Linked DNA regions of Macaca fascicularis. The protein of the gene in region 1 interacts with the protein of each later gene in a pairwise test. Links are inferred from orthologs where the notes say so. Each region holds a gene or a part of one and is shown on either strand. Other genes may lie near its edges.

What was found. The genes of interacting proteins can lie anywhere in the genome.
Region 2: the proteins of MAGEA4 (region 1) and UQCRB interact in binary tests that used the Homo sapiens proteins (3 or more experiments, as listed by UniProt). The two-hybrid records come from large-scale screens. The link is inferred for Macaca fascicularis from reciprocal best matches to the Homo sapiens genes MAGEA4 and UQCRB.
Region 3: the proteins of MAGEA4 (region 1) and WBP2 interact in a two-hybrid assay, tested with the Homo sapiens proteins (2 studies listed by BioGRID). The two-hybrid records come from large-scale screens. The link is inferred for Macaca fascicularis from reciprocal best matches to the Homo sapiens genes MAGEA4 and WBP2.

The regions. Positions count from the first base shown.
Region 1 is NC_088395.1:157,991,069-157,995,220, forward strand, and holds the start of MAGEA4 (melanoma-associated antigen 4), read left to right. Parts: upstream 1-1,352; 5' UTR 1,353-1,369; intron 1,370-1,973; exon of another isoform or gene 1,974-1,992; intron 1,993-4,152. UniProt on the Homo sapiens protein: Regulates cell proliferation through the inhibition of cell cycle arrest at the G1 phase. Also negatively regulates p53-mediated apoptosis.
Region 2 is NC_088382.1:105,905,397-105,909,363, forward strand, and holds the start of UQCRB (cytochrome b-c1 complex subunit 7), read right to left. Parts: upstream 2,801-3,967; 5' UTR 2,787-2,800; coding exon 2,768-2,786; exon of another isoform or gene 2,681-2,767; intron 1,414-2,680; exon of another isoform or gene 1,295-1,413; intron 96-1,294; coding exon 24-95; intron 1-23. UniProt on the Homo sapiens protein: Component of the ubiquinol-cytochrome c oxidoreductase, a multisubunit transmembrane complex that is part of the mitochondrial electron transport chain which drives oxidative phosphorylation.
Region 3 is NC_088390.1:82,265,275-82,269,215, forward strand, and holds the start of WBP2 (WW domain-binding protein 2), read right to left. Parts: upstream 2,801-3,941; 5' UTR 2,773-2,800; coding exon 2,714-2,772; intron 1-2,713. UniProt on the Homo sapiens protein: Acts as a transcriptional coactivator of estrogen and progesterone receptors (ESR1 and PGR) upon hormone activation. In presence of estrogen, binds to ESR1-responsive promoters. Synergizes with YAP1 to enhance PGR activity.

The DNA.
Region 1 (4,152 bases):
CCCTCCCACCCCCATCCACGTTGAATCAGGCTCCGCTTCCATTTCCAACCCAAGGAAGCCCCAGGTGCCTGGACGTGATGCCACTGACTTTTGCATTGGGGGTTAGAGAGAAGTGAGCTGCTCTGTGTGACTGGCACCTTGGGATTGGCAGAGGGAAGCGGGCCAGGCCCTGTGAGGAGTCAAGGTGTGACGCTGAGGGAGGACTCAGGAGGCCCCCACCCCAGATAGACGACCCCAGATAATCCCGGACCACTCCTGTTGCCAGCCCTGGGCCACCTGTGGGCAGACTTCTGAGTCTGGGGCACCCACCACCTCACTGCCTCTGAAGTCGAAGGGCACTCTGGAATCAGAGTATGGTGTGATCAATGCAAGATGGGCGGGGGAAAGGTTGGCCAGGCACCAACCTCACAACCAAAAGAGAGGGCTGAATGTCCCCCAACCCTATTCCCCTTCCCCACCCCCATTCCCACCCCCACCCTGTTCGCATTCGAACTCCTAAAAACCATCCACAATCCCATCCCCCACTAGCCCAGGTATATTCCCCAACACCCCACCACCTTCATACCACCGTCTCCCACCCCAAAATTCCCACCCCCTCCACCGTCACCCCTCCCTCCCCCATCCATGCTGATTCGGGTTCCGCTTCTGCTTTTAACCCAGGAAAGCCCCAGGTGCCCGGATGTGAGGCCACTGACTTGCACACTGGGGGTTAGAGAGAAGCGAGCTTCTCTGACCGGCACTTTGGGATTGGCAAGGGAAGGGGGCCAGGTCCTGTGAGGAGTGAAGATGAGATGCTGAGGGAGGACTCAGGAGTCCCCATCCGAGATAGACGACCCCAAATAGTCCCAGACCACTCCTGCTGCCAGCCCTGGGCCACCCATGGGCGGACTTCTGAGTCTGGGGCACCCACCACCCCACTGCCTCTGAAGTTTCAGGGGACTCGAGTCAGAGCTTGGGGTGATCAGTGCAAGACTAGTGAAGGCAGGCTCTGCCGGGCATCAACCTCAGGAGCATGAGAGAAGGCTGAGCTTACCGCACCCCTATTCCCATCCCCCACCTCCATTCCCATCCCCCCCCGTTTCCATTCCCATTCACAACCCTCCATCCCCCATCCCCCACCAGCAACCCTATCCTCCCCAACCCCCCACCACCCTCATACCACCATCTCCCACACAAAAATACCCGCTCCCTCCACCAACGTCACCCCTCCCACTCCCATCCACGCTTCCACTTTCAACCCAAGGAAGTCCCAGGTGCCCGGATGTGATGCCACTGACTTGCGCATTGGGGGTTAGAGAGAAGCTTCTTTGTCTGACCGGTACCTTGGGACTGGTGGGGGGAAGCGGGCCAGGCCCTGTGAGGAGTCAAGGTGAGATGCTGAGGGAGGACTCAGGAGGCCCCCACCCCAGATAGGCGACCCCAAATAATCCTGGACCACTCCTGCTGCCAGCCCTGGACCACCCGTGGGTGGACTTCTGAGTGTGGGGCACCCACCACGCCACTGCCTCTGAAGTCGCTGGGGACTCTGGAGTCACAGCTTGGGGTGATCAGTGCAAGACTGGTTAGGGCAGGCTCTGCCGGGCATCAACCTCAGGACCATAAGAGAGGGCTGAGCTTATCCCACCCCTATTCCTATCCCCCACCCCCTTCCCATCCCTCACGCTGTTCCCTTTCCCATTCCCATTCGCACTCCCAAACCCATCCACACTCCCATCCCTCTGCAGCACCCCATCCATCCTCCCCAATCCACCACCATCCTCATACCGCCGTCTCCCACCCCAAAAAGCCTGCCCCCTCCACCATCCTCATCCCTCCCACTGCCATCCACGCTGAATCGGGTTCTGCTTCCGCTTTCAACCCCAGGACGCCCCAGGTGCCCGGATGTGAGCCAATGACTTGCGCGTTGGGGGTCAGAGAGAAGCGAGCTTCTCTGTCTGACAGGGAGCTTGGGATTGGCGGAGGGAAGCGGGCCAGGCCCTTTGAGGAGTGAAGGTGAGATGCTGAGGGAGGACTTAGGAGGCCCCCACCCCAGATAAACGACCCCAAATAATCCCGCACCATTCCTGCTGCCAGCCCTGGGCCACCCGTGGGCAGACTTCTGAGTCTGGGTCACCCGCCACTCCACTGCCTCTGAAGTCACAGGCGACTCTCGAGTCAGAGCTTGGGGGGATCTGTGCAAGACTGGTGAGGGCAGGCTCTGCCAGGCGTCAACCTCAGGACTGTAAGAGAGGGCTGAGGGTCCCCCACCCCGTTCCCATTTTCATCCACACTCCCAACCCCATCTACACCCCCATTCCCCACCAGTACTCCTATCCTCCCCAAACTCCCACCACCCTGATATCCCCACCCCCAAACCTCTACCCCTATCCAGGCTGAATCACTGCCCTCATATCCCCACCCCAAAACCTCTACTCCCATCCAGGCTGAATCGGGTTCCAGTTCCACTTTCAACCCAGGGAAGCCCCAGGTGCCCGGATGTGATGCCAGTGACTTGCGCATTGGGGGTTAGAGAGAAGCTAGCTTCTTGGTCTGACAGGCAGCTTGGGCTTGGCAGAGGGAAGCCGGCCCAGGCTCTCTGAGGTGGCAAGGTGAGAAGCTGAGGGAGGACTCGGGAGACCCTCCCCACTGCAGATGGATGACCCCAAATAATCTAGCACCACTCCTGCTTTCAGCCCTGGGTCACTCGTGGGCGGACATCTGAGTCTGGGGCCCACCACTCCACTGCCGCTTAAGCCGCAGGGGACTGTTCAGTCAGAGCTTGGTGTAATCAGTGCAAGACTGGTGGGGACAGGCTTTGCTAACCTTCAACATCAGGACCCTAGGAGAGGGTGGAGCGTCCCCCACCCCATTCCTATCCCCTACCCTGTTCCCATTCCCATCCGCACTCCCAACCCCATCTGTACCCCCATCCCCCACCTGTGCCCCTATGCTCCCCAACACCCCCCACCAGCCTCATGCCCCCCACCTTCATCCCCATCCGTGCAGAATCTGGTTACACCCCTGCTTTCAATCCAGGCAAGCCCTGGGTGGCCGGATGTGATGCCACTGACTTGTGCATTGGGGATTAGAGGGAAGCGAGGTTCTGGTTCTGAAGAACGGCTTGAGATTGTCAGACAGAAGGGGGCCCAGGCTTTGTGAGCAGGCAGTCAGACTCTGAGGGAGGATTCAGGACACCCTTATCCCTGATAGAAGGTCCCAGCCCTGGACCATCGCGGAGGCTGACTTCTCAGGCTAGGCCGCCGCCTCCAGCTTCCCACCCCACCACCACCTGTCCCCACACCCGGTCCCCACAGGAGACTCTGGAGTCAGAGCGTGGTGTGACCATGGAAGGGATGCTTAGGAGAGGGCACTATCTGGGCTCTGCCAGGCATCAAGGTCAGGAATCTCAGGGAGGGCTGAGGGCCTCCAAGAGTCCACTGCAATCCCCACTCTCATGACCCACCCCCACTTCATTGCCATTCCCACCCCTATCCACCACTCCTATACCTCAACCCAGATCTCCTTCCGCTCTGCCTTTCCACCCACACCCCTCCCACCGGAACCCCCACCCTGGCAGAATACAGTTCAGCCCCTGCTGTCAATCCAGGAAAGTCCCTGGTACCCGAATGTGACGCCACTGACTTGCTCATTGGGAGTTAGAGAGAAGCAAGGTTCTCCTTAGGGGGAGCTTGACATCAGCAGAGAGAAGTGAGCCCAGGCTCTGAGGAGGCAAGGTGAGAGGCTGAGGGAGGTCTCAGAAGGGCCCCCCCCCAGATAGAGGGCCCCAATTAATCCAGCACCATCCCTACTGCCAGCCCTGGACCACCCAGGAGGCCGACTTCTCAGGCTGGGCTGCTCCCCACCACCGCCCCTGTTGCAACCCGTTTGTTTAAGCCACAGGAGACTCTGGAGTCAGAGGTTGGTGTGATCAGGGCAGGGCTGGTTAGGAGAGGGCATGGCCCAGGATCTGCCAGGAATCAAAGTCAGAAACCTGAGAGGGAACTGAGGTCCCCCAAGATCCCACTCTAACCCCCATTCCCACAAATCCCCTACCACTTCGCTGCCCCATTTCCCATTCCTTGCCCTCCAACCTCACCAGGCAGAATCCAGTTCCCCTTCTGCTATCAATCCAGGGAAACCCCAGACTTGGTGCTGGGACGTTTTGGGGGTCAG
Region 2 (3,967 bases), on another chromosome or scaffold:
AATTAAAAAGCACAGATGCTTACCCAGTTTATTGAATCCTGCAGCATTGTAATACCATTTTCGAATACCATCCAGCCACTTGCCTGATGCTGAAACTGATCATTGTCACACTGTTAGTTGCTACAATTATACTATATGAACACACTGATGGGCAAGCAACCAGTACTCAGTTATCTTGCTGATGAATGCAAACATAGAAAGAAATTTCCTTTTAAAAGTATATACTATATACAGCAAGAATTTAATCAAAAAAGAATTAGATTTAAAAGAAAAAAGTTTATAAACTGTTGATAAAAATTGCTTATTTTATTTATGAGCAAAAGTGGCTGCAGGAAAATGGTGGCAAGTCATGGAAGAAGAGGGTAAACTCAAACACTGAATGTACAAAAGATCCATAGGTACATCGTGTGCCCTTATGCCTGCCCTGTTACCTTCAGAAATGAAGGGGTGAGAGATAGGAAAAGGACTTGGAAATTTCTATCATTTGTAGTTTCATAAATAGATCACAGGAAATAATTGTAAACTTTTCATTTCAAAGGAGCTGGAGTTGTATGAAAAGAGAGTGAGATTTCAGCATAGGCTGGCAGGTCTAAATGACCCTCATCCTGTAAAAATTTTACTCGACATTACAGTTATTTCATTTGGCTACATTCTTTAAAAATATATGTATTTTGGGGAGGATTTTGATACCATTAGTCATTTAAACATTAATGTGGATTAGTAAAAGAAGTCCATTTACCTCCTCCTAAGCAACTAAGTTCCCCCCAAGGGAATAGGTATTGAAAACGGATGAGAAATGGGTAATTTTAAAATTCTTGCCGGGCGCGGTGGCTCAAGCCTGTAATCCCAGCACTTTGGGAGGCCGAGACGGGCGGATCACGAGTTCAGGAGATCGAGACCATCCTGGCTAACACAGTGAAACCCTGTCTCTACTAAAATACAAAAAAAATTAGCCGGGCGAGGTGGCGGGCGCCTGTAGTCCCAGCTACTCGGGAGGCTGAGGCAGGAGAATGGCGTGAACCCGGGAGGCGGGGCTTGCAGTGAGCTGAGATCCGGCCACTGCACTCCAGCCTGGGGGACAGAGCCAGACTCCGTCTCAAAAACAAACAAACAAACAAACAAAAAAAACAAAATAAAATTCTTTGGGGAACAGGGCTGAGTCTGATGAAGTAACCCAGCAGGGTCCAAGTACAGCAGGACCGTACCTGACATTTTAGGAGAGACGTTTTACAAAAGGGGAGGTAGAACAAGTTTACATTTTCTTTTAAAATTTTGTCTAGCGTTAGCCCCTTACCAAGGAAGGAAAGCAAACTCTCCTTTCACTCAGCCCTCCTTGCCTGCAAACTCAGTGCACTACAGATTACGTGGCTTCAGCACATCTCCTTGGAAATGAAGTCATGTATAAAACTGCTGCTAGAAAAACAAGTATCAGTCAACAATCTACAAACATACTTGTGGAAGACAGATTATTTTTAACCACCTATCAGTGACTAGAATAATATTCACTAAACACTTATTGTGCACCAAACACTTTCCTATTTGCTTTACCAACATTAGCTGATTTATTTACATGCCTCTTACTACAGCAAGGGAAGCAGACTTACAGAAGTGATCCCACCCAAGGTCAGTTAGCTAATGGGAGTTGAGATCTGGTCTATGTAGATCCCAAACACGCACAGAATCAGTGTCTTGAATTTAGTAAGACTCCTTCAATATCTGCTAAATTAATAAAATAATTATTTAAAAAGTCTCCCCCACCCCCAAAAAGCTCAATGTCAATTAGGTTAGCGGATGTTTCTGGCAACCTGATGTTTCCTAACAGCTTCACAATTGCTGGGGTCAGGGAGAAAAGGATCAATATTTTTTAAAAGCTACTCCAACTTGGTTGCATTGCAGTGAGACGAGATTGTGCCACTGCACTCCAGCCTGGGCGACAAAGCAAGACTCCTTCTCAAAAGAAAAAAAAAAAAAAAAAAAAAAAAGATACTCCAACTTGTACCGCCAGAGGGCAGAGATTAGCAAAAAAACAAAACAAAACAAAAAAACAAGGAAACCCAACTTAATGTTCAAGTTGTTTTAAATATTCCAGTAATATCTGCATTCTATTCCACAATAAATTTGTTTGAACCTACAATAAATTCAAATTTCTCCAAACCTACTGATCAAGCTGACGTTCTAGATAATCCAAGGTTAATGTGAAGCGTCGCTCGTATCCCTTGCTAGACTGTCTCTGATTCACAGTTTGAGAAGCGCGAGGGGTGCAATGAAATTTCCAATTCTACTTCCTTGGGTCACTTTGCCTCAGTTGTCTTATCAGCGTAAACGGGAAATTAGTATCTCCCTCGTGGCACTGGCAGGAGAATTTATAGGGCCAATGCACACGATAGAGCACCTGGGTCATAGAAGAAAGCACTGAGCTCATTCTGGTTGAAAGTCATCCACTAGTTATCTTCTTGTGACCTTTAACTTTTCTAAGGCCGAGGGGAAGGACTTCCGAGCACAGGCAGCTGGAACTCCAGGGCTGTTAGAGCCACCGCGGGCACCTTCACAAACAGCGGGTTAACACCCCAACCCTATATAGGCAAGCCCGGCCTGGGAACAACAAACGAGTGGGGAAGCACGTCCTTTTGGCTGGACTGAAGCCGCCACTTTCCCTTCCGCGACAAACTTGGTGACTTACAAAGAAGAGAGAAAACGGAGTGAGCTGCAGCGAAAATAAACGGTGGAGCGCGACGATGCCCGCCAAGAAGACTCCCCAGTCACTTACCCGCCTGCTTGCCAGCCATTTTGACCAGAAAATGAAACGTTGCCTTCTGGGTAAGTCATAGAGGACACGCTGGGCCCAGTCCGCAGGCGCGTTACGCCACAGCGCGAACCGAGAAACGCCGCTTGCGCAGGCGCAGTTCTGACGGCTGTCGTTGAGCTCTTGCGTGTGCACTTCTCGGCCAGGGTGAGGCCAATGGAGTAGGCGGGGCGTTTTGCGTGCTATATTCCAAGAAGTATTGGTTGTGATGTGATGGGAAGAACACAGGTCAGGAATTAGGAGACCGAGGCTTAAAGCTGGGTTCTGTTACTTGCTGTTAATAGCTATGAGAGCGTGGGCAGTATGAATTCAGCTCTTTGTGCCAGGCAGGAAGCTAAATGTTTTAAGGGCATCGTTTTATTTTGTATTGAAGGACTGATGGATGCGCCATCCCAAAAATATATGGAATTGGTACACTGATTATTTCGAGTTGAAAATGTTGGAGAAATTGTAGTTTCAGAAAGGGTTTGATGACCCATCTCTTCCTGCATGCAGCAAGCCGTAAAGTTTCCTCCAGGATTCCTCCGGAGTACCCGTCCCTTACCAGAGGGAGAAAATAGCACCCATCACCAGAGACTGGAAACTGGGAGCTGCTTTGGACCTGAATATACTTTCCGAAATAACCCTTATCTTCCACTAAGTTTACACCCCACCACACCCACGTTTCTCCTAATGACTCCGCAAGAAATTCACTGCCCCTAGCCAGATCCCGTTTCTTCTGATTTGTAGTTCGTGTAAAAAGTATAAAGGCATCTTACATTGGCCACTTCACTTTCTTGTGAGGATCCCCATGCACATGTAAAACTAGTAAAATTAGTATGCTTTTCTCTTGTTAATCTGCCTTGTGTCAATTTGGTTCCTAGATCCAACCAAAGAGCCCACATAAGAGCAAAGGCGTGATCTCTCACTCCCCTACACTGTCATTTAATTCTAAAAGTACTGTCATTATCTCATTGTAGATAGGAGAAAGCTGAAGCTCAGAAAGGTTGAATAACTTGTCCAAGAGGACATGACTAGAAGAGTCCAGGTTCTTCTTCCAGAATCTGAAAATCCAGACGCAAACTTAGGGCTCCTTAATTCTAGGGCCATATGCTACACTACTAATCCAGGAAAGACACCAAGCCTTTCAGGCCTTGGGTTTCTCCAGCTGAAGATCTACATCTA
Region 3 (3,941 bases), on another chromosome or scaffold:
CTTGAGCCCAGGAGTTTGAGACCAGCCTGGGTAACGTGGCGAGACCCCGTCTCTACAAAAAAACTAAAAACCACCACCACCACCAACAAAAAACCCCATTAATGCAGCCATGGAAGAAACGAGCACGTTGGAGTTCTGTAAAATTTCCCAAACCCCGCTTACACAGCCCCCAAATGATCAACGTGGTAGCAGAGTTACAGGGCTCTAGAGAGGCCGCCATCCCTCAAGTAGGTGAGGTGATCTGGCTTAACTTTTCTATTCTCTTTTAAGTCCTTTTGACAGATGCTCTGTTTTTGCTGGTTTGTTTTTCAACCCTAACATATAAACATATCTAAGAGATGACTGTACAGATCACAATAGGACCTCCTTCAAGGTTCTTTCAAACCTGGGTTCTTCAGCTGGGTTGGCAGGAAAGTCCATGAAGCCCTTGAGATGATCATGTACGTCATATGTGCATTTTTCTGAGCGGAGAGTCCACAGCTTCCATTATTCTCAAAGGAGTTCACGACTTGAAGAGTAACGTTCACTAGTTTAATTATCTTTTTTTTTTCTTTTTTATGAGACGGAGTTTCACTCTTGTTGCCCAGGCTGGAGTGCTGCGGCATGATCTCGGCTTACTGCAACCTCTACCTCCTGGGTTCAAGCAATTCTCCTGCCTCAGTCTCCCACATAGCTGGGGTTACAGGCATGCGTCACCACGCCCGGCTGATTTTTTGTATTTAGTAGAGACGGGGTTTCACCATGTTGGTCAGGTGGGTTTCAAACTCCTGACCTCAAGTGATCTACCTACCTCGGCCACCCAAAGTGCTAGGATTACAGGCATGAGCCACCATGCTCAGCCTAATTATCAAATTTTGAACACTGGACTTATACTTCAATTGTTACAGACACAACTTATTCAGACAGGAGGCTGAAGCACTTTCTAAAACAAGGCACACCTTACTTAGCAGGCCTGAGCCCTAAGCCAGGTAGAAGGCCCAGCAGGATAGATACATTCTTGTCTCAGGAAGTTCCACAGAGACAGAAAGAAAAACAGTCCCCAGAGATGTTGCCAAATGGCATGAAAAGCTGGCCAGGCCTGGGAACTGACTCACACACAGAGATGCAACAAGACAGTGTGAGGTGTCTCTGATCACATGATAAAAAGGTTCACACGGTTCTGTTTGTCTTCTGCCTCCCCCCAGATATCACAACTTTCTCAGACTGGGGAAAGGTAAGTGGGAAACAACTGGTCTAAGAAAAGAGAAGTGGTCGGGCACGGTGACTCATTCCTGTAATCCCAATACTTTTGGAGGCCAAGGAGGGCGGATCACGAGGTCAGGAGTTTGAGACCAGCCTGGCCAACATGGTGAACTCCTGTTTCTAGTAAAAATACAAAAAATTAGCTGGGTGTAGTGGCAACTGCCTGTAATCCCAGTTACCGGGGAGGCTGAGGCAGGATAATTGCTTGAACCCAGGAGGCGGTGAACTGAGTGAACTGAGATCGTGAACTGCAGTGAACTGAGATCGTGCCACTGCACTCCAGCCTGGGTGACAGAGCAAGCCTCCATCTCAAAAAAAAAAAGAGAAGTACCGCTCAGAGAAAAGAAGGAATTACCCATCAGACTCTGAGTAGGTAAGATAGAGGGAAAGTGAGCCTGCTGGGTCACTCTAGGCATTTTCCTCTGACTCATCATAACATTCCCAAGTCACAGGGCAACTGGATGCTGGCCTTAGCTGGGTACAGGGCTCTGACTCCACAATGTCTCCTTTGGGGACTCAGGTGCCTCCTAAGCTCCTTCTGCCTTCAAGAGGCAATTCAGGGTAGGCATAGTTCAACCCAGAGCTGGCTGGTCTGATTTTCAATACCCACGGAACAAAAGGAGAGAGAGGCCATTCAGGGCTTCTCTTGGCAGAGACTGGAGGAGAGACAGGATGCAATGAGCAAGGGGTGGGGAGGGTGGAGTGGAAAGAACCTTGAATTAGGAGACCTGTGCCTTCGGAGGAGACTCAAACCAACAGGCATTCAAGAGAGAGGCAAGGGAATGACTTTACGGATCCACACAGTGCCAGGAACTGTCAGACATCTGACAAACGTCATCTGTTTAATTTCACTCCTGGGACCTCAGTTTCTTACCTGGAACCTGAACAGTTCTGGAACATACTGGAAGCCTGTATGCTGGTGGTTAATCCTATTAACTTTGGAGTCAAGACTCCTTTCCTGGAATTCCATCTCTGTTACTTACAGAGTTGCAATCTCGAGCAAGTTACTTAACCTTTCTGCCCCCCACTTTCCCTACCTGTGAAACGTGGACAGTAGTAGATTGTACTGCACAGAATTTATTAAATAAGGTAGAAAAGCCGCAGAGCCTGACACGTAGTAACGTTGTAGACATCCAGTAAGTGACAATTATTTTTGTTTGGGGCTCCTCCCAGTTACTGAAGTCAAAACTCTGGGAACGGGTTCAAGAATCACCCCTAGGCCCCACCGGTCGCCCCATGCCAGGTCCCCAAGCAGACGTCCCACTCCCACCTCCCAGCTGATCACAACCTCCCGGGCCCTCCCCCACGGCCCACCCACCTTCCTCCAACCCCGCCCCCAGCCATTCCCCCCCCAACCATACTCCATCAATGCTCCCCCTTCAGGGGCTTATTCCCCACCGCCCATCGCCCACCCCCCACTTCCTCGACACCCGAACTTTGGTCCTCTAGGATCCTTCCGCAGTGTTTTCACCTCTCGGTGTTGTTGACGATCACTCCGCCGCCCTCCGAGTGATTCTTGTTGAGCGCCATAGTCTCTCCGACAGGGGTCCTGAGACTCAAAACGCAGTGAGCTTGCGCCCCTCTTCGCCCCGCCCCTAGTGGCGTCTTCTTATTAGAGTCAGCCAGTCACAGCTCGAGCGCGGAGGCTGGCCCAACCACCTGACCCGAACGTCACGTGGTAATAGTTTACTCCCTCCCCCCAGTTCCGCCTGCGTAACAAACAAGATGAAGACTACAATTCCCAGCAGGCAACGCTCCCGCAGCCTCGGCCTCTCCCTGTGCTGGAGGAAGGATGCATTCTGGAACTTGTAGTCTCCTGGCTCATAGGCCGAAATTGGCTCCACAATTTACATAACCAATCGGCTTGTGCCATCTCCACCCCGCCTCTTCAGCCGGACGGAAATAAACAGTTCGGCTGCTGTCAGGGGCGCGAGCCTGGGGACCCCGGCCGAGCGTTAAGGGAAGTCCCGCTGGCCGAATGCGACCTGGACATGGCGTGGGAGGGCCGAGCAGTCCCCTGGTGGATGGGCAGCCTTCGTTCACTCAGCAGACGTGTATGGGGCGCTTGTGTGACTCTGGGGCGTTTAGCTGAGCCCGAGACCCCGGCTCTTGGGGACGCGGTGGGCTGGCGGCGTCGGATCACCCAGCCACCCATCTCACCACCCCAAGCCCTGAGCCCGGGGGGCGGGGAGAGTCCCGCCTGGGGAGGGGAGGCTGTGTGCCCCGCCTGGCTCCCACCACTTTCGCAGGCCGGCCGGGCGCCCCTTGCAGCCTCCTCTCCGGCCTCGCGGTGGCGCCGATCCCTCCGGAGCGCCCAGCGGGGTCCCGGCCGGAAGACTGAAGGCTGAGTGAGACTGGGCACGGCGCGAGACTGGCAGCCTGATAACTAGGACTTACAAAATAAGACTGACTCATGCCAGCTCGTGACCCAGCCCTGGGCGTCCTCCACGGGGCAGCTGTCATTCCCTAACCGCCCCCCACCAAACCCCTGCACCTCCGAGCTGAATCCATGAGGCGGAGAGAGGGGGCTGCACTCCCCCACTTGGTGGTGCAGGGGTTAATCTTAAGGATTAATTCGTTAAGATTAATTAATCTTAAAGATTAACTCGTTAATCTTAAGGAATTAGAGTTTGCTTTTCAGTAGACAGCTGCTTTCCTGACCGTGGTGGTCAACCTCTAGATCCACCTGTTCGACTTCG